Caenorhabditis elegans: one gene and its partner. The protein of the gene in region 1 interacts with the protein of each later gene in a pairwise test. Each region holds a gene or a part of one and is shown in the gene's direction. Other genes may lie near its edges. The genes, in order: rcan-1 and tax-6.

What was found.
Region 2: the proteins of rcan-1 (region 1) and tax-6 interact in binary tests that used the Caenorhabditis elegans proteins (3 or more experiments, as listed by UniProt).

What each region holds. Positions count from the first base shown.
Region 1 is NC_003281.10:5,677,280-5,691,030, reverse strand, and holds rcan-1 (Calcipressin-like protein), read left to right. Parts: upstream 1-6,932; 5' UTR 6,933-7,001; coding exon 7,002-7,121; intron 7,122-7,169; coding exon 7,170-7,282; intron 7,283-7,332; coding exon 7,333-7,593; intron 7,594-8,263; coding exon 8,264-8,393; 3' UTR 8,394-8,729; downstream 8,730-13,751. Other genes in the region: abi-1 (SH3 domain-containing protein), read left to right, coding at 1-157, 642-802; pst-2 (Adenosine 3'-phospho 5'-phosphosulfate transporter 2), read right to left, coding at 8,818-9,404, 9,452-9,657, 10,074-10,195, 10,249-10,321, 10,427-10,533; rps-12 (Small ribosomal subunit protein eS12), read right to left, coding at 10,883-11,150, 11,318-11,455, 11,685-11,701; ska-3 (Spindle and Kinetochore-Associated protein homolog), read left to right, coding at 12,043-12,156, 12,206-12,386, 12,430-12,717, 12,764-12,969; F54E7.9 (N-terminal methionine N(alpha)-acetyltransferase NatE), read left to right, coding at 13,143-13,416. UniProt on the Caenorhabditis elegans protein: Inhibits tax-6/calcineurin A phosphatase activity and thereby negatively regulates calcineurin-mediated functions.
Region 2 is NC_003282.8:10,490,811-10,507,829, reverse strand, and holds tax-6 (Serine/threonine-protein phosphatase 2B catalytic subunit), read left to right. Parts: upstream 1-6,769; coding exon 6,770-6,809; intron 6,810-7,294; coding exon 7,295-7,384; intron 7,385-7,632; exon of another isoform or gene 7,633-7,911; intron 7,912-8,120; coding exon 8,121-8,221; intron 8,222-8,268; coding exon 8,269-8,754; intron 8,755-9,074; coding exon 9,075-9,214; intron 9,215-9,262; coding exon 9,263-9,340; intron 9,341-9,416; coding exon 9,417-9,511; intron 9,512-9,613; coding exon 9,614-9,739; intron 9,740-9,784; coding exon 9,785-9,862; intron 9,863-11,287; coding exon 11,288-11,296; intron 11,297-12,563; coding exon 12,564-12,648; intron 12,649-12,901; coding exon of another isoform or gene 12,902-12,999; intron 13,000-13,202; coding exon 13,203-13,321; intron 13,322-13,777; coding exon 13,778-13,968; downstream 13,969-17,019. Other genes in the region: ced-5 (Dedicator of cytokinesis protein 1), read right to left, coding at 15,200-15,470, 15,525-16,264, 16,313-16,657, 16,702-16,914, 16,962-17,019. UniProt on the Caenorhabditis elegans protein: Calcium-dependent, calmodulin-stimulated protein phosphatase. Dephosphorylates arrd-17. Dephosphorylates daf-16 at 'Ser-319' which regulates daf-16 nuclear translocation. Dephosphorylates calcium permeable cation channel pkd-2 at 'Ser-534'.

The sequences.
Region 1 (13,751 bases):
GATGATATGGATGATCTACCACCTCCACCAGAATCAGTTGGTGGGTCATCAGCGTATGGAGTGTTTGCTGGTAGAACAGAATCGTACAGTTCGAGTCAGCCACCAAGTCTCTTTGATACGAGTGCTGGATGGATGCCCAACGAGTATTTGGAAAAAGGTATTTTTGGAGATTTTAATTTGATTGAAAAATTGTCGGAAAAAAATTCTCTAAGCTTTTCTGTATTATTTTACGATTTAGAAAATTGGCTAAAATTGTTAGTGAAAAATTTATTATAAAAACCGAAAAAAGTTTAAAAAAATTAAATTTAATAAAAATTTAAAAAAGAGAAAAAAACAAAAAATTTTGTGATATTGGAAAGTGATTTTGAAAAATTCAAATATCTCCAAATTTTTTTTTTTTGAGAATTTTCAAATTTTGAAAATTATAAGCTTTGATTTTTTAAAAAGTTATCTTTTTAGCTTTTATTTTCGAAAAAAACGAAAAATAAATTTCCTTTAAAAACATCGGAGTATCAAAAAAATCCAAAAAGAATCGAAATCTTAAGTTGTAAAATGCGATTTTTTGCAGAATTTTTAATGTTACAAAGCAATTATATTTGTCAATTTAAACATTTTCGAAAAAAACCAATCTTTTTTTTCAGTACGGGTCCTGTACGACTATGATGCTGCAAAAGAAGACGAGTTGACACTTCGCGAGAACGCAATTGTCTACGTACTGAAAAAGAACGATGACGACTGGTATGAAGGTGTCTTGGATGGAGTCACTGGGCTTTTCCCTGGAAACTACGTAGTTCCAGTATGATAACAAGAAATGCTAACCCTGCTAAATCAATTGCTTTTAATCTCACTTTTATTCATATTCATATATTGCCTTTTGCCTCGAGTACTTGTATGTGAAAAGCCAAAAATAAACGATGGATATGTAATCATGAAGGAAGCAGTGGTCCCCTCGTTTGCAGCAGTGAGAAGCCTAAAAATAGCCAATACGACTGCTATTTTCGAGTCTCGACGCATTTCCTGAACGCATGTGCTCGTTCTCTCACTGCCCCCGTACTACTCTCTTTTGGTTTTCCTAGGGGCTCGCCTATTTAATGAGATTGCTCATTTTCTCTTCATGCACACACATTCATTCATTTTCTTATATTTTTGTGCCTTCTTATTTCTTTTCCTCTCCTCTCTAGTTTATTTTTTCTTCTATTTTAGAATTTTAAATAATTCATGTTCGGCACGACGAATAGTGACGCCAAAGAGTTTGCAAGGCGTGGGAATTGTATCTTTTTTGGTGGGCGGTGGACACAGATTTTCTTAGAGGAGGAACAAAGGTCAAAAATACAAGCAGAATTCTTGAACAGTTGAAATTCCCGCGCGATTTCCAATAAGATGACTTGGATCGCGGTGGGACCTTAACTATTGCACAGACGCAAAATTTTGTCATTTTTGCGCCAAAATACGGTACTCGGTCTCGACACGACAATTTTTTATTGGATAAAAACGGATGTGCACCTTTAAAGAGTTCAGTACTTTCAAAAATTTGTTGCTGCATGCTGCATGAAAACTCCATGAAAATTTAAAAGCAACGGAAGTTTGAAACTACAGTACTCGTTAAAGGCGCACATCCCTTTTTATTTAGCAAAAAAGTGTCGTGTCGAGACCGCATACCGTATTTTTTTATCTTTTAACTTTAAAATATGAAACTCTGCAGAGTACTCTGCTCATAAAAAGAAACAAAAATTCGCTTTAATTGGAAAATTCGAGAAACATTTCAGTCAGAAAAACAAAACATTGTTTTTTTTTTCGAAAAACACGAGACCTCAATTAAGAAAAGTCGGTTTGTTGTTTTGTTGGTGCTCTTAAACTGCGGTTAATCTTCCATTCAAAAGCATCTAATACAAAAAGTACCAGTAATTATATTTAAATCGGTTCAAATACCTCATGGGACAAATTTGAATTGGCATATTTATTTTTTGATAAACATTTTTTTTCCGACCTTAACTCTTGTATAACAATGAAATCTAATCTTGTTGCTATTAAACACAATTTCTGACGAAAAACTACGGAACCTGGTCTCGACGCGACCGGAAATTTCAGGCATAGAAGAGTGTGTACCTTTAAAGATTACCGTAGTTTCTCAGTTTTTTTTTGCAATTTTTATCCACCCCTTTTTAAAGCTGTTTTTCGAAAAACTAATTTTTCGAAAAGAAAAAATATCGATGATAATTGAACACAATTGCGTAAAACAGAATTTCGCAACTACAGTACTCTTTAAAGGCGCACTCTCTTTTGCGAAACTCTCGGTCGCGTCGAGACCGGGTACCGTTATTTTTTTTGTATTTTCTTGCAACTTGGTAATAATTGCAATCTGAATTGCAAAGAAATTTTGGTGCTCCATACGCGCATTTCAGTATTTTCAATTTTCAAAAGTTCCCTTATTTTTAAACCAAAGCACATTTCATTTCAGTGTTCTTGTGGCTCTTTTTTCTCTATTTTCTATCTTTTCAGAGTGTCCTGTGTCCCTTCTCCCCTCCCCTACCAGGGCGTGACGTCGGTACGCTCCTCTTCTTACGTCTTTCCATATCTCTGTACTCTCTGTACTCTCTCTATCTCTCTCACACACACAACAGAAAGAGCTCACCAACTTGTCTATTCTCTATTTACATATTTCGTCAATCTTTTTCTCTCTTCACAGGGGCGGCTACCGATCCGTTCTTTCGCAAAAAACCCTCGGAAATAGTAAACCCCAGAGTCATCATTGATAGTTATAAATAGACATCTTTATGTGAACTCACCTGTTTTTATTTTATTTTATTTATTGCAAAATCCATTTATCTGGAATGTTCTTTAACAAGAGTTCAAGCATCTTCCTTATTTTTATTTGAAAACCTTCAAGTTGCTTTACTCTTTTTGTTTTCGTTGTTTCAGTGATCGAAAATCAGTTTTAAAGGCTCATTTAAAAAATCTATGGCCGATTTTCTTTCAATATGCCAAAAAAAATTAGTGGCCGAACTTTCTGCTTTTTAGGCCACGTTGCATAAACGAGAACGGTACCTCAATTTATCCCTTGATTTTCAAGTTTTTTGCCAAAAAAAGAAATTAATGAAAAATATTGGTAATAACGGAGAAAAATCACTAAAAGACAGATTATTTAGTATTTAAAAAAATTGGTGGCCGATTGTTCTCTTTTTCTAGGCCACGTCGCAAGTAGCCTTTTTTTCAGAAATATTCAACAATAATTCAACATTCATATTTTCAAGACTATTTCAATAATCTGAATCGAGCAATTTTCCTATTAATAATAATAAAATCTTCAATTCCAGACCGGCCCAAATTTCAAAGAATCCCCACAAATTGAGTTATTCAAAAAAAATCGTTCTGGCGAAAATCTCCTGTTTCTTGGATTTAGTTTTTTATTCTTCCTTTCTGGAAATCCGTTTCTAAGAAAATGAAAATTCGATTTAAAAAAGAATTTAAAGCATTTTGATTTCATTTTCAAAACCTTTTAGACTTTTAGATTCACTAAAAAGTTGACAACTAGCAAAATAAAAACAAATTTAATTCTGAGGAATATGCTCTCAGAAACATGATAAATTGTCAACTAACCAGATATTGCAAAAGATCAGATCAAAATCACACAGTTTAAAATTCACCACCAATTTTCCTTATCAATCACAATTTTTATCAATTCATTTTCACCAAAAAAGTCTGACATTTTTGTAGAATTTTTCCGTTTTTCCGTGTTAACAAGATCAACTTCACTGACACCAATAAATTCCGGTAAATGATCAAAAATTAGCGCTGAGAATCAAGAAAATTTTAATCGTATTGTAAATTTGAGTACCTACGACAATGACTGAGTATTTACGTCAAAATGTGAACAAACTAGACTGCCTGTAAACATTTCTCTGTCTGTGTGCTTTTTGATACAGATACTTTATTTTTCAGTTTTGGTGTTGATTTATGAGATTAATAGATGATACTGTATGGATTTTTCTGTTAAAAATTTTTAGATCAAAGTTGCAACTTTTTTTTCCAAATAAAACTGTTATTACGTTCTTTAATTTCCCGGAATAAATGAAAATTCCAACATTTGCATATTTTTATCAAAATTTTGTGGATAATTTTTTATCCGAAGAAAAAACAATTTCCAAAAAAGAGGAAACGCCAACAAAATGGATAGGTTTTATTTTATAAAAATTGAAAGACCACACCGGCAATATCGCCGACATTTATTTCTATAAAAGAATTTTTAAAGTTTTAAAATGTCTTGTTTTCCGGCTGTTGGTGTTGCCCTCCAGCTGTCCAATGCTCATTGAGTTTTTTCTTGGCTCCACGAGCTCAAAGATGAGCTTCAGAGTTCTTCATCGGAATGTGTTTTTTTTTTGCCTGGCGTTTTCTAAGAGCTTCTTTACCAAACCAATACTATGATCCTTTTTATTTCATTTTTGTGTTTGTGTTGACACTTTCGAACAAACCCCCCCCCCCCTTTCCCAATGGTATTTGGGAGAAAAAAGAACCGATTGAAAAAAAAAGTGAACTGCGTCATGAGGTTATGAGTACCTCCTCTTCTTCAACGCCCTTTGTTTCTCCCATCCTTTTGCTCTTTGTGAATTTTTTTCCCCTAAAAATATGTATTGTGTAAAAACTTTTCTTGAGGGAAATCCCTTCACCTATGTATCTTAATTCATACAGAGAATAGCTTTTAAAATGATCTTCGTGTTCTGTCTTGAACTTTTAGTCTCTAGTAACAATTTATCAAAACTTTGACTGCAATTTTTGAAATCAAAACATTTTTAGAGTATCTCTAACTATCATAAGTGCATTTAAATTAATTTCTTACTCACGAGCACCTTTAGGCTTAATTCAAGATCCAATAGAAATTGTTCATTAACAAAATAAGCGTTCACACATTTTTTTAACTGTGATAGGTTCCGTGCATTTTGCAACAAAAAACAGCAGATCGGATAGTACTTGTGATTTTGATTTTTTAGTTTTGAACGAAAAAATCAAATCAGCAGATCAAATAAACTATTTTAGATCAAGGACATTGATCAAATATTTGCGAAATACTTTTGTAAATTGACCGAATTACACAACAAAAATTGTTTACTAAATCAGTATTATTTTTTACGGTAACTTTAGTTTCGAAAATAACTCTTGATAAATCTTCCGGAACAGTACCTTAACTCCTGTTTTTTTTTCAAAAATCAAAACAAATTTCAAAAACATTTCATAGAATTCCAGAGCTACAAAACAGTGATAATGTGTCAAATTCAACACCTCCTTGTTTCGTTTCTCTCGTGTTTTTTTCTTCTTCTTTTACTGCTCCGCGAGCATCAAAATATCTGTGTAAATGCACGTGTTTTCCTACTTCTCTCACTCGTGGTTCATTTCATCTCCTATTTTTGTCATAAGGTTCTGTTTTTAGACATGTTTTTTCTTGAGTTTAGAATCGATTCTCTATCAATTTCAATTTCGCTCTAAAGATAAAAATTTGAATTTCTAGTTACAAAATGTTGTTGCAGTTGTCCATTTTTTAAAACGAAAGGCTTCTCCAAGGGAATCGTGGTCCACAAGTGAAGTGTGATTCCCAAAACTGAGCGTTTTGTACTCTTTTCGAACAATCTCCATACGTCTTATGTGAATGGATGTCATTCCTAAACCTCTGACCGATTTTCATTCCACTCGGCTGCTCGCAGAGTTCAGAGGCTTAACCTCTTGATCGTTTTTCTTTTTTTAGTCTTGCTGTTTCTCCCAGCTCGAATTGTATTCAAATTTCTGATGAAACTGCGTCAGCGCTCTGCTGCGCCTGGGGGAGATTATGGAAATTTTTGTGGGCTTTTTTTCGCTTTTTGAATTTTGGTGCGTCTAATATCAGAGTATTGTCTCATATTTTACGAATTTCTAGTCCTTGGTTTCTCGGAATTTTAAACCAATTTGGTGAATTTAAGAAAAGTTGCCGTATCTTTTCAAAAGCACACACTGATTTTCTAAAAATTTTGATCGTGGTAGGACCCTTTCTGCATCAAAAATAGATGTATCTTTGCAATTATAATTTCTGCCATTTCGTGTTCCATCCCTCCACGTCACACAGAAATAATCCAATGTTCAGTTTCACCGACCACGTGAACAAACATTGACATCATTTCTGTCCGCTTCCCGGTCCAGTTTTTGATGGTTTCCGTGCGGATCAGAAGAAGAGAACACATTGTATCTGAATATATATATATTGGCACGAGGCAGGCCACCCCATTCTGCACGAATCTTTTGTCGTTTATTGTAGGTCTCGCCACGATTCAAGTTATTTTTGAAGCTAATTATTAAGAGAATACCCTAAAAGGTTCATTTTTACAAGATTTCATAATAATTCTCAATTATTGAGAATAATTTTCGAAATGTTGAATCAAAAATTGGATTATTTCGTTATTATAAGAACTTTTCGTCTCTAGGAACTTGGAAGCATAAGAAAAACAGCAAATTTCCCGCCTCAAAAATTCCAAGAGTTTTTGTTCAAAATTCTATATTCAGAACGGGGGGACTAAAAGATTTGTTGTTTTTGTCGAAAAACCGAACAATAAATGTTTTTTCTTTTGCTTTAAACCACCCACACTCATGCACCATGAGTCATTTGTTCCAAAAATTTGAAATTCCCTTGATGGCCATGGCTACTGGTTTACTGGAAAATCTATCTTATTCAGTCTACGTCTCACTTTCCTTCTGCTTTTTTTATGGATATTTCTTCTCGAGACCACTGTTCTTTCTTCCTTTCTCTTGACCATCTTCATCATCACCGTCATCACGTTGTGTTTTCAGAGTTTTCAAGCTCCAGAATCCATGTGATTTTTTTTTCGTCTAAATTGTGCCCTCCGGCACCCGATTTCCGTTTTGAAACGCCCACACCATGAAAAGAAGATAGAAAAAATGAATCTTTTTTTCAGGCTTCAGTTCTTCTTTTTCTCCCAAACTCGGTGGTTGCTGAAATTTTTTCTATAAGTTAACAACAAAAAATGGTGGCTGATAACTCGGAAAAATCAACGAAATCCGTTGCCAATGGATCATTGATCAGCACTGTTTCCAGTAAAGATGATCTTCCAAATGCAATTATTGTGACTCAAGTACCAGAAGATGTAAGCTTTTGATTTCAAATTGGCTCTACTTTTAACTTTTATTTATAGGTATTCGATAATAAACAAGACAAGGCAAACTTCTCATCTCTATTCACACAAATCGAGAAAGACATTCATTTCGATTTCCTGCGCAGCTTCCGACGAGTTCGAGTAATTTTCAGGTGAGTCAGAGGAAACCGCCAATTTTCAATAACTTTTGTTTTGTTTCCAGCTCCCCCGAAAACGCTACAGCCGCCAAACTTATCGTTCAAGGATTCTCTTTTAAAGGGCACGAGTTGAAAGCTTTTTTTGCACAAAGGATCTACATGAGTGCCAATTCCCAAATGCTTTCCCCCCCACCACTCGAAAAACAGTTTTTAATTTCACCACCATGTTCTCCACCAGTCGGATGGGAGCAGACTAAAGATATGCCACCGGTTGTATGCAATTTTGATTTAATGGCCAGACTTGCGTCATTTGCTATCGATGAAAAGTAAGTTTATATGACGTTTATCAAAAGTTGAAAAATGTGAAAAAAGGGGTCTATAAGTTTGGAGTTTTGCAAGCCTGGAATACTGTTTCTACTTTGTATCACACAGCGCTTATTACGGGAACACCACATTTTGAGAATGCGTTTTGCGCAACATATGCAAAATATCTCGTAGCGAAAACTACAGTATTTTTTTTTAAATGACTACTGTAGCACTTGTGTCGATTTACGAGCTCGATTTTTGAAATTAATTCCTTTTCGAATAGTGTGTCGTATAATAACGTCGTATTCTTATTTTGCTCAATTTTAATATTCTTTCATTAAATCAATGATTTTAGTTAGTTTTAAAATCGAGCCAGTAAATCGACACAAGCACTATAGTAGTCATTTAAAGAATTACTGTAGTTTTCGCTACGAGATATTTTGAATAGTTGTGCAAAACGCATTCCCAAAATTATATGTTCTTGTAATAGTTGCTACATGCTCAATTTTTTTATTATTATTCATATCTCTGTAAAGTTTGACATCTGAAGCAACCACTATGACGTAGATCTTGGCGAGACCCACTCAGAAGAAGCGTGTGCCTTTAAACTGAAGTGCCAGAATTTCGCGAAAGTACAATAAACTAAATATTGAAATATTTTAATCAATTTTTTTCAAATCCAAAATTCAGATATGAAGTACACAATGGAGACGAGCTGACACCAGCAATCATTGTTCATCCATGCGAGACCCCAATTGACGTACCATCAGCAATTGAAATGCCACGAACTCCACGCCCTTCATCTCCATGTGAACAGTAATTATCTTGGATATCCCTTTCCTTCTCATTCTTCTTGTTATTCATTTTTCTCTTCCAGCTTTACAATCATCCTCATTCTATTTGTGTTGCACTCCTTCTTCTCCAATTTTTTCATTTTTTCCTTGTTTCAACTTCAATCCGCAGAGCTTATTCTGCCGCGGGTAGACGTGTCTCTTCCTAATCCAACAATCCACTTATTTTTGCTGATATTTTGTTTTTGTAAATATATCCCAAAAATTGTTTACCACCCAATACTTACTATATATTCCTTTTTATGGAATGAATCTTCAAAATGAAAAAAAAAGAAAATAATGCAAATAAATTATTTGTATTTAAAAGAACTGACAATATCACATGAAAAGAAGGAAAAAGCAAGTATAATATACCCGAGCCCTGATAAAAAGTTATTCGTTAATATTTAAGTTCTAAACCGTCATTGGATCCTTCCTAGCAACAGATACATCATGATATCCCATTGCTCTCGCCACGAATCTTCTTATCATATTATCCCAAGACGTCTTGTTCTTGCTGTACAAATTCAAATAAATTGCCAGCATCACCACAGATCCCGCATAAACATATTCGATGGTGAACGGCTTCGAGAAGAGCATGAACGACAGAATTATAGTCAGTGCCTTGCGAAGAGTTGTCACAGTAACCGCAACAAGTGCTCCAAACACTTTGATATGAGTGAGCACAACGTTGACACCGAGATATCCAAGACATGAGAGGATCAGTGCGTAGCCGAATGTTTTCCACGAGTTCTCCAGGAAAAATGGAATTGCACTGAAGACTTCACCGGAGAGCACGACAAATGCGAAAATGAACACTGAGCCAATTCCATATGAGTAGAGAACCATTTCATTACTAGATCCACCGTACTTCTTCATATTCTTTTCTTGAATATTTCCAATTACAGCATCTGCCAGAAGAGCTCCACAAATCATGATGTATCCTCGAGAATCGAAATTTGGGGATACTTTATTATCGGCCAATGTGAACATGATAATTCCTGGAAATAAAATATTTAATTAATTTTTTAAAATCCAAAATCCTCACCTAAACTCATTAACATCGCCGCACCAATATCAATCCATCCATATCGTTTTCCTTGGATCAGAATCCCTCCAATGAGCACTGGAATTAGCTTGCAGCACTTGAAAATCACTTGAGTTGGATAATTTAAATATCCAACGGATGCATTCGAAAGTCCCATTGTTGCTACTGTGAAAAAGGCAATTACACCGTAGATTCTCCAAGGGATCCTGGAAAAATTAAATATTTTTTAATTCTGAATTTTGTACTATTTGTACTACATATACGCGAAATATTGCGATTGTTGCATCAAAACCGGTCTCAACACGGCAATTTTTGTGGAAAATGGTGTGCGCCTTTGAAGATTACTGTAGTTTCAAACTTTCGCACCTTAGTTCCTGTGGAATTTTTATCGACTTTACAGTTTTTCCCTTTTTTTAATTTGTTTAATTTTTTTGTTTTAAATTTTGAATAAATGTATTTATTTTATTAATAAACAAAATCGAGAAAAAATCCGTAGCAACAAAAGTTTGAAGTTACAGTACTCTTTAAAGGCACACATCAGATTTCATTAAACAAAAAAGCGTGTCGAGACCTATTTACTGACGCACAAATCGCGAAATTTGAATAATAATTGAAAACTCACATTCGTTTCGTGTTATGCCAAATAATACATTCCGTATATCCACATCCGCTATAAATCAGGAATTGAATAAGTGTTAACGTCCATCCAAATGGTTTCATTCCAGGTAGTTTGAATATTAATTCCTGAAATATTTTTTTTCTTCCAAACATTTTTTTATGTAAACTTCTAATCTCACCTGCATATACCCGTATCCTATGTACAAAATAAATATTGCTAAAGAAAGAAGAACAAATTGAAGCCATTTTGGTCTGAAAATCATGAATTCACAAATTAAATCGGCTCGAGATTTCATAATGTATTCTCGATTTTATCGCTTTTGAAATTCCGCTTTAAAATTGAAAATTAAAACTCACTTTCTGGCAATATTAAACCCTAACAGATGAATTGGTTCTACATCCTCTTTGACATGACGTGGCAGCATATGAACACTACAATCAGAATGTATTTGAGCTGCAGTCATTTGAAAGAGTGGGTGGAAAGTGCGCAAATAAAGGGAAATTGAGATCTAAATCAGATAGGCATTTGTTCAGATTGTCCATTGGGGAAAGCCTGAACCGCGACTACGTTCACGGCTTTTGAAAAGGGGGTATCGATCTTTTTGCGCGTTGGCAATAGTTTCTGCGCTACGTCTCTCTATGCATACGTTATTCATACCGAAATAAAAATTCACCGGCGTGATATATTGCAGAACCTTTCCTATACTTTCTGCTCCCGAAAATATTATCCCAACAACTTGTGAATGTGTACCATTTTGTAATTAAAGACGAACAAATAGGGAACAATAACAATTTATTGGAACAACGAACAGATTAGTTCTTGGAGGCAAAGTAGTCGGTGAGGATGGCACGTCCTTGCTCCTCATTTCCCCAGTTGGTGACAACGGCGGATGAGCATCCAACGACCTTGCGGGCCTTTCCTTCCTTATCGTACTTGCAGAGTCCGCAGTACTCTCCGATGATCTTCTTATCGGCGACCTTAATGAGTGGAATCTGGTGCTCGGCGCAGAGGGTCTCGACAAGCTTGACGTATTGTGGCTCGTCGCAGTTCTCGGCGAGGACACAGAAGTGAGCCTCACGCCTGAAAATTGTTTGTAAAATCTTTGGAACACATACAGCATGATACCAGTACACGTGTGGCAGAGTAACAACTTATCTACCAGCTTATTGGGGTCACATCGATTCTAGAACCGGCGACGTTGAAAAATAAGTGGAACTAAAATACAAACTAAAATATCAATTACTTACTTGTCAAGAGCCTTGCAGGTCTCGTGGAGTCCCTTGGCGAGTCCATCAGCGTGGTGGGCAGCGCGAAGAACAGCTCTCAAAGCTCCTTCCTTGTCCATTGGTCCCTGGGCGACGGCGGCTGGGGCCACTTGAACATCTCTAAAATTATCCAATATTTTAATAGCCTTCATAAAAACTTAATTTTGCTTTTAAGACAAGGAATCTAATTGTTCGAACAACTTTGGAACCGATACAGCTTCAAGGCCAGTACCCGTGTGGCAGTAGAACGGTTTTTATTGCACACTACGATAGGAAAACTATGACTTCAAAATCTTCCGATATAATTGGTAGGTGCAAGATTTTTCAGAAAAAAACAAAAATAACCTACCCTCCTGCGTCAGACATTGTTGTTTGCAGCAAGAGTCCTTGATGCTTACCTGAAAATTAGAAATTTCGACTCGTTAATATTGTTTTCACAAAATATATTTCAAGATTTGAGAAAAAGAAAAAAAGAAAAGAAAAAATTGGGAAAATCAACGGAAAAGAGGGAAGCATGAAATGTTTCTGTATCACTCCGCAGCATGTCTTTGAGTCGCGGCACAGTGAAATGTGCTATAGAGCGCGCTTGCCATTTGTCGATTTACGGAGACTTGCACGCGGGAAGCTTTGAATTTCAACAGTTTTCTGTATTTTCTCAGTCTTCATCAAACATTCATTAGCATTTTTCAGGCAAATAAAGGAGTCAAATGGCTAACGAAACGCTGGAACATGTTCTTATTTACTTTTTGGAGAAGCTAAAAGACGTTCGATGCAACCAATCTCCAGAATTACTTCAAAAGCTGACACTCTCACAGTACAAGGCAAGTTGTCGAGCTTTCAGTCCATTTAAATTATTTACATGAATTTCAGACTCTTGCACAATTGGATGTGGACATGCGAATGAGACTGACGCAGGAAATGGAGAGCTATGTGGCGGATCATGTAGAAATTATGAAACTCGAGCTGCAATTGAAGAACAAGAAATGTGCGCTCGCTGGAAAACTGAAACAGTTGGGGACAACGTTTGATAAAGCTATTGTGGAGACTAAAGGTGAGTTGCAATAATTTTTTCACGAAAAAATAGAAAAATTCAGAACGAAACGAGCATTTGCGGATTGGCAGCATTGATTTTCTGAATCCCGTGGTTGAGAAAGTGGAAAAAATAGTTTTTGCAAAGCCAGAAATGCCACAAATATCAGTCGAACAAGGATCAGTTCTCGGTGAATCTGCGAGACGTCAACCGGAGCTTGTCTCTGTAATGGCTTCCATAATGAAACCACCAACATTTTCATCATTGGTGATGACAGGAAGGACTGAAAAGAAAGAAAATATTCCGGAGACCAAAAGCTACAGTCTTGATGATTCTTTGATAAACGGACATGGTAAATTGAATTAGTTTGTCTTTGCAATAAAAACATGCCATTTCAGACATATCAATGGTGAATACATCCAACGAACGACGAAAACTGGCTTTTGATGAGTTGGACGATGAAGAACTGCAAACTCCAGCAAGAAAACCACAAAGAACTCCATCCAGAGCTCCAGAACGGAATCCTCTTGATCTATTTTCCCTACAAGCACCGCCCGTCTTCACATCTTCAGTTGGTCGAGCATTCAATCAGACAAGGGATTGATTTTCTGAATTTTTGATACTAAATATTATTTTATTTATCTGTACAAATGTGGATATGAATACAATTTTCTGAAAATGAAATCAAATGAATTTGAAAATCCAACCAGTTTTCAACTGTGAATATTTTTAGAATTTTCGCATGTTCTAGTCAACGTTTTAGACAAAGTTTCAGCAATGGAAGAAGAGGAATGTTTATCACATTCATCACCATCAACCGATAATTCTCTTGAACTTCGACTGCAACGAGTGACTGCGGAAAACATAAAAACAGTTCGAATCCTCGTTTCAAGCATATTTCCGGTGTCGTACAGCGACAAATTTTATCAAGAATGTATGAATAACGAATTAACAGGAGTTGTAATACGAAACGGCGAGGCAATCGCCATAGTTGCTGTAAAGCCCGAGAATTTCGAAACAGGACGCGTACTTTATATAAGAAGCTTTGGAGGTTTGTAAATTTTTGAGAAATTAAGATTTTTTCATTTAAAATTCAAGAAAAATGTTATAAAATTAAGTTTTCTAAAAATTCTAAAATATGGTCTCAAAGTTCAGAAAAAAGTCTGGTTTTAAAACAAAAATCAAAAATTAAAAAATTAAGATTTAAATTGATTTTCACTAAAGTCGTTTTTTAGAAGATCTTCCATTTTTTTCAGTTAAAATTTTTTCGAAGCTATTTTCTAATTAAAAGTGTCATTTTAACCTCAAAAATTTGTAGAAAAAGTAACATTTTGATAAAAAGTAAATTTTGCAAAATCTAAAAAATATTTTTCAAAATATGATTAA
Region 2 (17,019 bases), on another chromosome or scaffold:
TAGTATTCTGCGGCAAAGAGCTCGCCGAGCACTCGCTCCCTTTTTCCTTCATATATTTCCGCTTTTCTCCACTTTTCCCTCCTTTTCTAACTCCCATTTCCTGGAATTTTCTCCAGTTTCTTTTTTTAAATGATACTTGCAATAAGTGAATGTGCGACTTTGATCCGCTCTAACGTAGTGCCGATTTAGCAAAATTGGTAATATCTAGGTGACATAAAATTACATGATAAAAATTGGCTGATCTGAAATTTCATTTTGTCTGGGATTCGGTTAAATTCTGGAAATATATTCCAACAATTGAAAATTGTTTTTTAATATCTTCAATCATCAACTTAAAGTTATTCATGCAAGAATACAGTCTCTATTCATGCAAGAATACAGTCTGAAAATTGAAGGAAAAATCAATAAAAATGCGTTAAAGTTTGAATAGAGTCTGTAGGGGGTTGATCTTAATGACGGTGAACTGTCAAAATATACCAAATACGACTGCAATTTTGATGGGCGTGCCATAACCATTCTTTTAAATTTTAGTGTAAAATTGGAAATTAAATCAAAAATCTAGATAACTTTATAAATATTTGATTCGAAGAGACATAATCGATAATCATATTAGGACAGTTATCTGCTTGAAGCAGTACCCAACAGAACGCTAGCCAAAAAATCCTTCATAAAATCTTTTCATGTAGGTTGTTCAATATTTATTACAAATTGGTTGCTTACAAAAGACAATATATATCTTGAAAAAATATACTCCTGGTAATTTCAGAAAAATTAAAAGCTTAATTTCCAACAACCAATTTCAAATATATTTCCTGAATCAATTGCAGAGAGAAAAATAACTCTATTCGTTGAATATTTATTCTCAACCCACATTTTCCACCAAATTTGCCTACCCAATTCATTTCACAGTCTGCGTCTCATCGTTTCATACTTAATCTCTCGTATGTATTCGTACTGTTTATCATATATTCCTCTTACTCTCTCTTTCCCTTACATTTCTTTTTCTGCCGTCTTTCCCATTGTCGATGTTGTGTTGTATATGTCTGTTTGGCAACGCCGTTTGCCTTTTTCTTCGTCGTTTTGAATCAAATGCGTTCAATTTCTTTTGACTTCCTTTTTCTGCGATGGAACTGTAAAAATGTGTGATTTTTCAAAAGATCAAGACAAATAACCTAGGCTTGGACATTTAATAATACTGATTTTTTCGAGCTTATTTTCAAATTTGAATATTAATATACCGACAAAAATTGGTAAGTCAGGAGCTCAACGAAAATATTTATTAAAACACAATTTATAAAAACACAACAAAAGACTTTTATTGAAATTAATAATTATCCTTTTTTGCAACAAATTTTACAGTAATCCTAATTATATTTGTGTGATTAAAAATTCATGCTCGAGAATCATCTCGTGTGAGAATTAAAATCATAGAACATTTATAATCCAATTGTTTATTTTGATTGCTTTTATGTTTTTCTTTTCCATCCAATCCCAAAATTCCCCATTTGCTTGCCTTTTCCAAAACTATAGCATAATCGGATTAGTGTGCCTCCCCTTCTCACCTTATCACATTATCAGGCATTGCGATGCGTCTCAGCGTTGCGGTCGCCACCTGAAATTGACTATTCCAGAATTTCTCTCTTTTTCTCTGAAGGAATGAAGCACATTGAGCCCGTGAGCCAGTGCGCTCAGAGCGCTTTTCTTTTTCTAATCACATATACACACCTTCCTGGCAAAATGAGAAGCAGGAAAGGTGAAATTACTAGTTCTCTGAAAAGATAATCTTATAAGGTCATAAAGATCCGATAATCTCGTTGTTTACACGAGAAATCCTAAAAACTCATCTCGTCAAACTTTGAGTTGGTTTAGAAACTTTACGATTCTTCACTTTTCAGTGATCAAAACTGTTTAATCAGAATTTCGAGAAGAATGTATATACTCGAAAAATGCAGAGAAACTATACTCACTACTCAACTTAATTGTTCCTTTTGCTCTTCTAAATCTCAGAGTTCAATCGTGGAGTAGGTCAAAAACCCAACTTCTAAAAAGGTGATTTTTAATTTTAGCCTTTTCCCGGTTGGTATTCCCTCTAAAATGAGAAGCCACGCTTCCATACAAACCAATCACCGTTTTTTGATCTACACTCGCTCACGCCTGATTGGTTCAAAATTGAGCGGAGCGAATCGCTGATTGATCTCTCAGTTTTCGTTTTAGAGCGAATTCAATATGGTAAATGGGGCAATATTGAAAATAACCTTTTAGTCGGTTAGTATTTAGCGGTTTTTAAACCGAATTCACCATTCACGATACCTCACTTCTGTAGTATTAGACTTCGATATGAGTTGGTCCTGAATCATTAAGCTCACCTTTTCTAGGCCAATGTTCTTGTCATAAAATAACCCCTTCTTGGTGTGCAACTTCTTCTCAAACTCCTGTTCCTGCTCCTACATTGCCATCCTTGGTTGGATCCAAACGGCAAAATGAAAGAAGGAGAAGTGGAGCAACAAGGCACACACACATACATACAAGCAAACGACTTTTTTGTTCGAGTCCCCCCCCTATAGGTGTCCGGCTTCTCATCGAAATCCATACTATCTCGTTGGAGACCTCTTTTCACATTTAATTATTTTCTAAAGGGTATAGCCATCTAGGGACACGAGGACACGACGACGGGAAAAAGAGATGAGTCTTTGAATGGGCTCAAGCTTGAGTGACGACGACATCGGAGCAGTGGCGGTGGTGGTGGTGAAAGAGAGCCTTCCATTTCTCTCTCTCTCTCTCTTTGAAACCCCTATTTTCTTTCATGATGATGATGATGATGCACTCTGTGATTTAGAGTCACTTCCAGTTGACCTACACCCTCAATTAGTTAGGCTTACGTTTGCGTGTCTCTGTCTGTTTTCATGATAAATGCACTCTCTTCTGCTAAATACTTGTTATGTTGCTCCCAGTAGATGCAGGCTTTCTAGAATGTAAAGCTGATATCTTCAAAAACCCAAGCTCATTTGTTTTGGAAGCCAAATTTTAAAGTTGAAAGTTTTAAGTTTGAAGTTTCGGATAACCTAGTTCGTATAGAAAAAATTATCTGTACTCTAATTTCTCTCCACATAATGTTGTTTCTTTCTTGAATAAATGAACTGATAATAATTTTACTTTTTTAAGTAATGCTGAAAACATTATTATGTATTTTTTTGGTTAAAACATATATGTACATACAACTAGTACCAATAGTATTGCTATCAGTTACAAAACCAGCATTAAATTTATAATCCGTTGTCACAGAATGTGGTAGGGTTGCTAAGACAGTTTGCATAAGCTTGTTTCGGTAGATTTTCTAGATTTTTTATCAATGACACGTGGCACATCGTATATAAAACATCCCAATATGAAACAATTGCCAACATTGTTTTCTGACACATCGGTACGTCATGTTTTCTTTTTGAGTCTGTGACCCTCCATCTCGTCCATTTGGAAAACACAGAAGCAGCCGCCATCTCCTTCTTCTCCTTCTCCTTCAATCTTCTGTTTCCTGTGCCTACTTTCGTCTCTTTCTGCCTTCCGATCAAATCCTTGATATTTTTTATCAGCACAGCAGAAGCACGTAGCGTTTATATTCATTTGACTTGGCTCTGCGTGTGTGTATGCCTATGTTGTCCTCGCGTGTTGAGAAATGAAACTGCTTTCTCTTTCTCTTCCTCTCACTTTTCAATTTTCTCTTTTTTTTCCTCCTTCTCCTAGCCAACAGAGCACAGCTCAATCGATTGCGAGCCGTGCTACACTTGTCTCAACTCTCTACGTACTTCCATCCTCTCTCATTTCCCTCATTTTTCCATCTTTTTCCCTCCCTTCTCCACTGCCGCCGCCGCTGTGTGCGTCTTTTTCTCCCGAAAACCGAGCTCGCATCGCGGAGCACACTATTTCGTTCTTGCGGCTCTCGGGTCCCGGGACAGCAGCCGCAACAGACACCGATAGCAGCGACAGCACAGCAACACGCAGCAGGAGTAGTTGAAGAAGAAGAAGAAGAAGAAGAAGAAGAAGCAGCTTCTTTTTGGTGTCGTCGATCGAGCAGAAAGCTGCTCTCTTCTTCTTTCTCTCCTCTTCTTCTATCCCTTCTCTTATTCTCCGATTCGAGCACAGGCTAAGCTTCTCGAGCTGATCCCACCCACAACGTCCTTCTTGTTCGCGCTCCTTCTCTCTCGCTCTTTTTGACTTCAACGTTTCTGAATAAAATCCACGTCATTTTTTATTTATTTAATTGTAATATTTTACTAGTTTCAAAATACATAGAATAGTTTTTTTTTAATATTTATCAAAGATATCAAAAATCATTATATTATAATCGTTTTGTAGAATTACAATGCTTCCAACTGAAATAAATAAAAATAAATTGATTCCATTAGAAAAAAGTGACAAATTTTGAAATTTCTAAGATGTGTGACTATAAATTTTCAGATTTTAATTCGGCAAATATATTTTCTGATGCAGAAAAATCTTGAAACAAAGGGGTTTCACGAAAGGCCATGTAAAAATTATACAGTAGTTTTTTTTTCCATTTTCTTTCAAATAATATTTGAAAAATATTAATTCCACATATTATTTTACCCTGTAATGAATATCTTTTTAAAAGTGCATTTATTGTAGGTATTTATAGATAAGTTTTTTAAACCACATATTTTAAGCCATATATACTTGTACTCACCGCAGCTAACTAACCGATTGATTTTTGTTGCTTTTCCCTTGCTCTGACCCACGCGACGGATTGCGGATCTTTGTTTCTTTTGACATCTCAACACTCTCTTTTCACTCGTTCTCTTATCTTTCTAGCTCCTACCCAGCATACACATCATCGTACCAACAAATTTGTATGCATGAAGTATCTATTGGACTCCTTGTTTCTGTCCCTTTTCATGATTATACCAGAGGGACCTATCTTTTTGGAAGGAATAAACAACAACAACAAGCCTTTCTTAGTGATGACTAAAAATTTAAGAATGGAACTATTATGTCGTTTAGAGAATTTTCATGTTCTGTTTTTACAATACATAGAGTTTCCGATTTTTTTTACTTTTTCTTTTTGTCTGAAATTTGTTTTTTTTTGTGTTTATTTTGAGAGTAGAAAGCCTGGTTTTGCTAAATTTTCCACCTATAATTTTTAGACAACATTTGAAACGTGCTTTAACTGAAACTGTCTATTTCTCTAATTTTCTCCGTTTCTGTCGCATCGCTACATATGTTTACCCAATTTCCGTGCTGCTTCTTTTCATTTTTCATTGTGCCTTATCGATAGAGAGAAGCAGAGAAAAAGAGCATCTCTCTCACGCAGAGGGAAAAAAGGTTTTTTATCGATAACACACACCGCCCATTACTTTTGATCTTTCCCTTTTTCAAAGTCATGTGGGTTTTTGGTTCTGCTCATAAATGATTTAATCAATACATAGCATGAGTTGAACAGTAGTTAGAAAATGACATCGCTCCTAGGAAGAAGACATTTTCAACTTATAAAATTGTTTGAAAGTTCTATTTTTAAATACAAACACTTAGAGTTGTACAGTACTACAACTGATATCGTTTTTTTTATTTGTATTGCACTACCTAGTATACATAAAACGATAGAAACAGAACAATTATTTTGTCAGTTGACAAAACGACAGAGAAACTGTCAGAATTGAATAATTCGCGAAATAAAAAATAAAGTGTGGTATTGACTGTTTTTTTTTTGAAGATGATGCTGAATTTCCTGATAAAGTTGTCAAAAATGAATGATGTTTAAGATATTTTTGAAGAAACGTTCGGAATAAATTTGTTCTCTAGAATAATTATATAGTTGCTCTCTCAATGATGTAAATCATATTTTGATGACATTTTAGCTTTAAGAAAATTCGCTAATAAATTGGTTGTAATGTTTCTCAAATAAATTTCTCTTGATTCTCCTTCCAATTCTCAATTGTTCCTTTTCTTCGTCTTTTCCAAAGGAACCCCGCCCATTGTTGTCGCCTTTTGGCATGCACAACTAGTTTTCCCTTCAATCTGAATTATTCGATTGGTCAAGCTTCTTTTCTTTTTCTTATTGAATTTAAATTTTTAACTATCAATTTGTTAAATTGAACGGAAAGCTTTGCATTGGAACATCTTATTTTTCGGGGACGTTATTCTTTCATAATCGTTATTTAATTCGTAAATGTTGAACTTTTTCTCTCCGTATGACAAAAATTGACCAAAATGTTGATTGCAGGCCTGTGAAAGATCGATCCGTCGTGCCGTGGTGTGAAGAGAAGTGACGTGAAACGGTCCGAAGGAGGGTATCGTACTGTTTCGCAAAGCTACATCATCTCCACACATAGCCGTTTCCCCGCTTCATCTACGGGTTCATACCAAACCAGAGTAGCTCATTCACTCATTTTTTTGAACAAAAAGGGTTCGTTTTCATTTTCCAACAAAATACATCCGATCCGTCAGTGGCGCCGCGCGCCGAAAAAGGAAAATATATGAGGTATTGGCCTCTCTCTCATAAAAGTCATAAAAATTGAATCGCCATGGTGTCCGCGAGAGAAGGAGAGCCGCGTGAGAGACTAGAAGAGAAATGAAGAAAAAAGGAAAAAAAGGAGCTCAAGAATACAAGTCAGCTGCCCCAAGATACTCGGCTCCGCGCAACTCCACACCATTTCCAGAGTTTCCCTCACTTTCTTACAATTTTGAATTGCAGGTGAAACAAAAAATCAGTCGATAAAAGGAAAAGTCATCATCAATTTTAAATATATAAACACACACAATGGCCTCGACATCGGCAGGACAGAACTCTGCAGCTAAACGTAAGTATTTACTGAATCCTCGTCTGAAACTACCATTGTTTTTATTCTTATTTTTTGCAATTTAAGACTATCGCTAAAATCAGCAAACATTGAGCATTTTTTGAATAAATTTCAAAAAGTTAAATAGTCCATTTTCAATTTTAGTAGGAACTAGAATTTTCATTTTCTTTGATTGGGAAAATACGGGAAAAGAACAATATTTTTTCAAATCAATTTATTTTGAAGTTTGGTTTCCGTTTCACGTTACATACCTTTAAATGTTATCGAAAAATTAGTTGTTGTTTTCCCTCTATCTCCTTTTGCCCCCTCGAAAAATGATTTTAGAAGGAAATAGAGACACAAATCGAATTTGTAGTGTTGTTGTGCATCATCACACACGCAGTCGTCGGGGGCTTCATCCTTTTTCTAGGTGTCTCTATCCGAAAAAATCTAGCGAAAGAAAAATGGATCTCATCTGGAATGCATGAAAAGAACCATTTTTTCAGCTGACACTACCAACACTACCACCACCGCCTCGAACAACAATCGTGAACGCGAACGTGATTTGAAGCAGTTCACCGAACGATTTGTCAAGAGTAAGTATTTGGCTTCTGCAGTCGGGCGGCAGTTTGAAAAAGAAAAACCAATTAAAGTGTTTCTTGCTTCAGGTTACGGAGAAAAGCGCCATGCTCTTTTTTTCTCTTTTTTTTTGCGCAGCACACCACAACCACCCCCATCCACCCTCACATTGGCACACACACATTGAAGAAGCCAGAAATTATACGCGCAGAGAATTTTTTTTTTTGCTTGTCCCGTTGTCGTCGTGAGCTGCAGAGCCGCAGAGAGTTTCTTCTCGTCTATTCTCAGCGCAAACTCTCACTGTCTGACTCACGCGGGTCCGTTGCTCTGAGGAGCTCACCAATGGCTCCGCGTCGGCTCACCAGGCACATAGAAAATATATCGAGAGATAGAGAGTTCTTATTCTCTCTGATTCTCTCTCCGTCATTCTCTTTTTCTATTCGAAAAGATTCTGACGAAGTCGCCGTCATTGGCGTCGTCGTGTGTGTGAGAGAAGACGGGAAGGAAGGGGAGTGAGTGACTGCTGTAGCTTGAAATCGAAAATTAATCCCGAAACGCTTGAGAGGGTTCCCATAGTAATTTAGGAGGGCGGCGGCGGCTCGGGCGCCATGTGGGGAAGATGAGCGTGAGAAGAGCATGGAATTTGAGAAGAATTGAAAAAAAAATAGAAGAAGGGAATAGAAAGATGAAGGAATTCGGAAGTAAAATGGAATAATGAAAACATTATATTTTTTCTAATTTCTCATTTTTCAGCCGTTCAATTTCCTGTTTCCGAACGCCTTACCGTTGATCAGGTCTACGACCGGCGGACTGGAAAACCAAGGCATGAAGTTCTTCGAGATCATTTTATTAAGGTGTGGAATAGATTTTTAAGAATATAATCAAATCAACAATTTTGCAGGAAGGAAGGATAGAAGAAGAAGCCGCGATTCGTGTGATTCAAGAATGCTCAAGCCTGTTCCGCAACGAAAAAACGATGTTGGAAATCGAGGCGCCGGTTACTGTATGCGGAGACATTCATGGTCAATTCTACGATCTCATGAAACTATTCGAAGTTGGCGGATCGCCCGCAACTACCAAGTATCTATTTTTGGGTGACTACGTGGATCGAGGATACTTCTCGATTGAATGTGTCCTGTATCTGTGGGCACTCAAAATCTGCTATCCGACCACGTTGTTCTTGCTTCGAGGAAACCATGAATGCCGTCATTTGACAGAGTACTTTACATTCAAACAAGAATGCAAGATCAAGTACTCTGAACGGGTATACGATGTGTGCATGGAGTCATTTGATGCTCTACCGTTGGCAGCTCTCATGAACCAACAATTCCTTTGTGTTCATGGTGGATTGTCCCCAGAAATCCATACTTTGGAGGATATCAGGAGGGTTAGTGAAAAACATGAGATCTAAAACTAATATTTTGAAAAATACCGTATTTCTCTATTAGTACGGTACCCGTTGTCGTTTGTTCTATCAAAAAATTCTCAATTAACAAAATATTTGTTAGTTCTTTTTCAATATATTTTCAATTAATTTCTTTGATATGTATCATGAACCGAGTGAAGTTTTTAAAGTGAAATAGTTAGGTGCAATACTGAGAGAAAATTTACGGTATATGTTTGTTTTATATGTTTTAAAGTACTGTTTAACTTTAATCCGAAATTACGACCATATCTTAAATGTCTATTTAATTTGTTGACTTTCAGATAGACAGATTCAAGGAGCCCCCAGCATTTGGTCCAATGTGTGATCTTCTCTGGTCAGACCCACTTGAAGATTTCGGAAACGAAAGGAATTCAGAACAATTTAGTCACAATTCGGTTAGAGGGTGCTCATACTTTTACAGGTATCCCATTCACTATAATCTTCATTTTAATAGAACGAAATATTATAGCTACGCTGCATGCTGTGATTTCCTGCAACACAACAATCTGCTCTCCATCATTCGCGCACATGAAGCTCAAGATGCCGGGTAAGAGCTTATCCGTCGCCAGGAGATGCGAAAAGAGAACCTTAATCCTCTTTTCTAATTCTACTCTATTTTCCAGATACCGCATGTATCGCAAATCTCAAGCCACAGGCTTCCCATCGTTGATCACCATCTTCAGTGCTCCAAATTATTTGGATGTCTACAACAACAAAGGTGAGAGGAAATATGGGAATGGCATTTTTTGACGGAGAAACAAAAAGAAAACAAAATTCGGAAAATTAAACATTAAACATTAAACAACTTAACAATTTTCAGCTGCCATCCTGAAGTACGAGAACAATGTGATGAATATTCGTCAATTCAACTGCAGTCCTCATCCATATTGGCTGCCGAACTTTATGGATGTGTTCACGTGGTCATTGCCGTTTGTGGGAGAAAAAGGTATAGCAAGAAATATGTCGAAAACCAAATGAGATTTCCTTTTAGTAACGGAGATGCTGGTTCACATTCTCAACATTTGTTCTGACGACGAGCTGATGGCTGAATGCGATGACACCTTTGAAGGTATGTTCATGATTAAGCACTGGCTCCCTCAAAGGAGGTCCTACTGCGTAAAAAACTAGGTCACTTTAATATGAATTATTTCACAACAAAAAATATTTATGTATATATAATTTTTTTAAATTAAAATAATCTTCTACCGCCAATTTTGTCTCTATACACTTTCAATGATTTTGTCTTGTGCTCGGCTCAAATTGGCAAATGAAAAGCCGCATTGAAACGTTCTCCCCAAGAGATGGAATACATGTGTTTTTTGCTCGATTAATTTATATATATATTTGTAAATGTATATCTTAACAAGAACAGAAAATTGTTCCTATTCACCTCATATCACTCTTTTCTCCTACTGTGATATAAACTAAGGAGAGGAGAAGAAGAAGAGAGACTGTTTGAAAATTAATAAGGCACTGAGAGTTTGAAAGGGAAATAGGAATATTTCCAATTTTCCTTCAAAAACCTCAAAAAATGCACAAAAATCGGTGTTGTGTGTCCGGTACGGTTCTCTCTCTCTGTCTCTCTTCTACTTCTTTTCTCTCTAGTTTCTTGCCTTTTCCTTTCCTTCTCTTTTTTCCTTTTTCTTTCCTTCTTTTCTCCCTTTTTTTGAATATTTGGTCATTGTTTGAATGTTGTGCTACTCTTTTTTTGATTGAGCTCTCTGAAAAAGAAACCATGAGAAAGAAAAGGAAAAACGAAAAAAGGTATTGGCATGAGAATTGATATTTCTGTGTGAGTGTGCGTGTGTGCTCTGACTGAGAATGACTGAAATATATAGGTGTTCTCTTTTTCAGTTTGACATGATTGATTACTTCAGTTCAAAACTGTAACTATTGTACTCATCTGAATTAGCATTTCTCAGCAGTCATACGCTCCCTATGTGTACAGTATTCAAAAGATTAGCGCCACTTTGTAGGTTTAATTTTTTGTAGGATTTCACACTTCAAATTGAAATATAGTTTTTCGAACGATGTAGAAATGCTAGTCACTAGTACACAAACCATGATGTCGATTGAGAAAAAAACGCATGTATTGTTGACCTTGAGCATAGCAGAGCACTACTTGTAGAAATTTTGAGCTCATTTGCCGGAGCCATGTTTGGCTTGGAAGACATTTTGTCAATAGAATTGAATGACAGAAGTACCATGCCATCGTAAGAATATCATCATCCCTTAATTTTTGTCTATTGTTCTAAAACCTTGAAATGTCGGTAAACTTGTTACCTTTTCCCAGTGTTGCAGGCTTGAACTTGTTCTGAAAATCCAATAAAATTTTGACAAATTTGTCAGAAACTGTGTTTTCAAGCCGTCCGTTTTTTCCTTAACCGCACGCGCCTTTAAAAAAGTTAAATGTTAAAATCTCAGTAAAGATCTAAACATTAATCTCAAAACTAGCTACAAAAAAATAATGAAAAAGTCTAATCAAAATTTTAAGGAGCAGATGGTAAGTGGATATTCCCCTACCCACCACACACTGGTGACGTATGTTTGACTATCAGATTTAGTTTTATTTTTTCTTTAATTTTTTACCAAACTTTCTTCGGAACACCCTAAACAACACCCACCTCGGGCGTTTGGCGCTTATACACCATTTCTTAGTTTGTTTTATTTTTCTCTCTGAATACGGCTTTCTATTTATTTGACTTTTATGTGGCTGCTCTGCTTATCTTTTTTGTTCCGTTTTTCTAAAAAAAAATACGTTGCTTTTTTCTAATTATAATTGTTTTAGTTGTTTCATTTGGCTGTGTGCTGCTAAACTTTTAACGCCTTGTGTTTTGCATGTTTTATGTCGGATTTCCAACCTGGTCTTCTCCTGTGTTTTGGTCTCTTTTCAAAAATTCTGAAAATTCCAATTTTAAACATTGAAAAAAAATAGAAAGTCAAAAAATCGAAGAAAATGAAAGAATTCGAGCAGTCTAAAATTCAAAATTCTCTCACTTGGTTTTGATTCCCCACCCTAAAAATTAGTTACTAATTGGAAGAAATGGGTGTCTTTATTGGGATTTTTAGGGGTACGGTATAAGAAATGAGAAAGTGGAAATTTCCCCAAACCTGTGAGAAAAGACCTTGAAGTGTATATTTTTTCTATACATAATATTTTCTCAAAAAGGTTACTTTATATTTTATTAGTATATTACGGTATATTTGAAAAATTATTATGAAATTGTAAAAGTAGAATTGATGTTTACTCGACAAGAAGATTTTTTAAACTATGAGTTTTTTGGCTATTCTTACGGAACATAATCTTGGAACGAAATAAGAAAATGTTAACAATCGAACAAGTTTAGTTTTTTGTATAAAAAATTGTAGTTAAATTAACTAGACAAATAAATTTTCTTTTCCAAGAGCATAAAACTTCTTTAAAACTATTTACAACAAAAACTACCGTAATCCCTTCAAATCCCAATGGGACCCGTTTCCTCTAACTCAACCTCTATCATTTTCGGTGACGGTTGGCACATTGCAAAATCCCAAATTTTTACCCCCTTTGCCCTCCCCATATTCACACTATTTACAAGTAGTAATTTTTCACCTATTAGCCAATATATATGTACATGGCTTTCATTTTATTTTTGACATTTTTCTAACTTCATTCGGGGATTTCTATTGATTGGTAATGTGGTTGCCAGTGAATGGTGTCACCCCTTTTGAAGTTGTTGCCATGTCATTTGTAAATGTTGACGGTTCTTTTTTAAAAATTAATTTTTCAGGTGGAGTGGGGTCTGCAAGAAAAGAGGTTATTCGACACAAGATTCGAGCAATTGGAAAGATGGCAAGAGCATTCTCAGTTCTTCGGTAAGTTGATTAATTTTTTTCAATTTTAAACCGAATTTGTATGAATTTAAATAGAAAGTTTTTTTCTATTATAGAATGAGCATTTTTTTTAGTTAACTTTTATTTATTTTTGATAACATATATCTTAATTTAATGTTTCTATAAAAAAACAACATACTTAAAGCATGATTTTGACAATTTTTGTTAATTAATCATTTTTGATTATTTTTTTTTCAAAGTTCATAACTCTTTATGTGGTTTTTCATATTTTCAGCGAGGAGAGCGAAAGTGTTCTCGCACTGAAAGGACTTACACCAACCGGTGCACTTCCAATGGGAACACTTCAAGGTGGATCACGTGGTGTCCGAGAAGGTAATGTTTGTCCTGATGTCTCTTCGATCCTGATCCGTCCAAAATCGTTTAAAGTCCGTCAAAAAGTGTGTGTACTTTTCTCTAATCGAAATGCAACTATACTTACCGAGTTAACTTTCGAATCAAATGATATTTTCTACGAAAAAACAATAATTCAATAGAAAAAAGGAAAGAGAAAAACGTAGTACCACGCTTTTTAACAGACATGAAAGCGAGTCAGTGCTGCAGTTGAAGGGCCTGAATGCAGGTGGCAAGCTGCCACAAGGGGCTCTTTCGGAAGGACGGACAGGATTGAATGCGGCTTATAGAATTGAACAGTCAGGTCTGAATAATAAAAATTATCTAAATTATCTATGGTCTGCAAATGTTTAAAACATCTGATTCTACAAAAGTATGGTTTTTTTAACTGAAAGAACATTGCTTTTGGGGCAACACCGACGTTTTCGTTTTCGAAAATGTTTTTAATTATTTTTCTTTTCAAAATTACAACTTTAAAGTTGCTAAAAAAAAACAAATTTGATTAGACAACCAGGAATGAAGAAAAATCTAAGCATCTGCATTCGATTTTTTTTCTTTTTTGTGACGAGACCCATTCAAATAGCCACGTGCGACTTTAAAGTATTAATTTCGAAAGTTGCGAGATTATAGTAAACTTAAATACCATCATGTATACCCAACAGTTTATGCTAATAAATGCAATATTTTTCGAAACTAAACCTTGGATCCCATATAAAATGATTGGAAATAAAAATACCTAATTATAATATTTGAATTTCAGTGGCAGCAGAATCCGGATGCGATTCGGGACATCTTATTCAATCATTCGAAGAAGCTCGCCGTCTCGATAAGATTAATGAAAGAATGCCACCAACAATGGCAACACCACCAGCACAATCACCAAGTCAATCACCAATTCCGTCACGACAAACGACACCTCAACCACCACAAAATGGTCCATCAAATAGCTAATAGTCATAGTTCATATGGCATATCATCTTCAAAAGTCGTTAGAGTTTGGAAACTAACACGCTTGAATACGTAATCTTCTTCTTCTTTTAATTATTTTTTTTATCTAAAAACTTTCAACCAGCTAGATGCAAATTTCCATCTCCGAAAACTATTTGCCATAGTGCATTTGCGCATGACAAATCCATCAAAATCCATTCACATCTTTCTTACCTTAGATTTATAGTCTTTTCTTGTTCATACGTTTGGAAGTCTATAAACCTCTGAAACTTTTATCTTCTATTCGTATAATTTCTCTTTAATCCCCCGGTTTCTTATTATGTAAATGTGTTTCATTGCTTTTCAAGTTTAATGGAACATATTTGCTTTTTCTCTTTTCTAAACACAACTCCGCATCTTTTTTTTCTTTTTCTCCCTATAAATTATCGATTTGTGATTGGATCCGTTCTCAGTCTCGTTGCGTGTTTCTTAGTCGCCCCGCCCCTTTTTTTAAAAAATGCCCCAAACTTCTATGATTTCTGTCTTTATTTTCCCTCACAAGTGTGCCCTAGCCTTATCATCTACCGTAACCCATAGATGATTTTTTCCAGTTGAGACCCATTCTTTCTTTTTTTTGCCATTTCATTTCATTCAAGCAAACAGTGTTATTTTATTCCACATTTGTTCATTTTAAATGTTTTTTCCAAGTTTTCATCCCAAAGTGTTTTCCTCCGATCCATCATCTCGTTTTCTTCTTTTTTTAAGCTAATCAACTTCATCCGAAATTATAAAAGTATATACATAAATATAAATATATATTGTCTTGTCTATAAGATTCTAATTTAAATTCATGTTTTTTTGTTCTTTTTCTCCTTCTCTCTCCCTCTCTGTCTCAAATCTTTTTTCTCGTTTTTTTTTTTGCTGAAAGAATCATTTAACGTATGATATTCCCCTTTTCTTTGATAATCTTTTGGAGATTTCTTTATATGGAAAATGAAGCTCTGAAAATAATTCCTATTAACTTGTAACATATTCACAGGAAGGAAAAGAATTTTGAAAAAGGAAACAATTAAAACATTTTGAAGTGAGTGAGTGACTAGTAAAAGAGCACAGATAAAACCAGCAGGGGAAAGGGAATTTTGAGAAAATGATAAAATAGAAATGCAATTAATGAATTAGAATTAGATTATCATGCGTTTTTTGATTATGACTCTGGAAATTTGTGAAGATATTCAAAATTTAATTAAAACAAAAATTAATTTTTTCGCTTCAATGTTCGATTTGGATCCATATCAGGACGATCTGGACGAGGTGGAAGTGGTGGAGCAACTGACATATGATTAAGAGAGACTGTTGAAGCCTGATGTGAATGAGCTCTCATACGGATTCCTTCATAATTTGAAGATGGTCCACGGTTAATTGGAGATATGGGATTTGGAGGTCGCGGTGGGGGTGCAAGCTTGGAAATTGCCAGAGAACTCCGAAGTTTAGATGAAATGTTATCGAATGAAGGGGCTGAACGACTTCTGAAAAAAAAAAAGAAAAAACTAGATTGTCATTTGTGAATTTTGAAAACTTACGACAAGTTGACAGGAGTTCCAGGTCCACTAGATCGTTTGTTCGAATAAATTAGGTTAGCCACAGCGTTTCCAAGTACTGCAGCTTTTCCTGACTTCATTGTCATCATTCCATCATTGATCGAATCCGAATCAAACGATGATAGTCGAATATTAGCATGTGTTGGCAACCTGGATCTTGTTTTTCCAAAGTTTTCCTCAACATATCTACGATGACTGTCAAATGAATCTGCCAACATTGTATTAATTGCTCTTGCTTCTCCTTGACAACGACTAGCATGAACATAACAGCAATATTCCAAAATTTCAACTTGTTCGATTATCAACGAGCTCAATTCCATGATCACAGACTGCTCACCGCACTCGCATATATTTCTACACGCTTCCGTGAAGAATACTTCGTAATTTTTGACTCCACCCATCACAGCTGCACTGACGACTCCAAGAATATCTCTGCTCAGAAGTTTCAAATCGAAATTAGGATTGCTCTCAGCACTGGCAGCCGTTTCATTGAGTTCTTTATTCTTTTTTCTCATTTGTTCAACTGCATTTTGTAATGGAGTTACATAAATTGGGTCGGATAGCTCGACGATTTCCGTGAATCGTAAATCAGTTGGCAGACTGTCAGCAGTCTTGATTCTCCGTCGAACAAGCCAATTCCTCATGAATTCAGATGAAGGATCTATACTTGTCCACTTTGTATCTTTTCTTTCTTCAACTTTTGAATATTCAAATGTTTGAATCTGAAAATAGTCAACATACAATATTTGCAATAGAATAGTGGAACTTACATTATAATATCTGAAATATTTTTTGATAACCGGTTTCACTTCAGGATTATTTTCAAATGAGCATCCGGTACCGATTGGATCAATATTGAAAACTTGAATGTAACGGCCGGGGGAGTCGACAAGGTGAGGACAAGGATCTGTTTTCATGATCTTTTCCGGATTATCGTACATCTTCATGATTCGCTGCATGAATTCTCCGTGCATTTCGAGTTTTTCACTTCGGAACACAAACTTGTGCCCGTTCAAATAAGCAGGGAATCCTTGTCCGTAGAAGGCCACCAGGTAGTAATAGAAATATGCACGTTCCGTCCGACTGATGCTTGTATACAACTGGGCAATTTTTTGCTGAAATTATGATTTAGACTATAACGGAGTTTCCTTAAACTTACCAATAATCCTGCCAATTTATCGTAGTCCATAATGATATTCTGATATACTGGAACAAGTTGATTGTAAACAATCAGTGCGTCCTCCCAATCTTCTCCTTTTGAAAATAAATTACCAGCTTCTTCCATTAAATCTTCTTTTAATTGACGATGCAGCTCACGATGTCTGTTAAGAGATCGAGCAATGAGCCATTGTGGAAGAGCATCATCGTCAAACTGGAATACATAATCTTTAAAAGGATACTGATTGAAGAAACATTTACCGTAAGCATTGTGGCATGTCGAAGTAAAGTTTTGGCAGCTTCAATCTTATTTCCATAC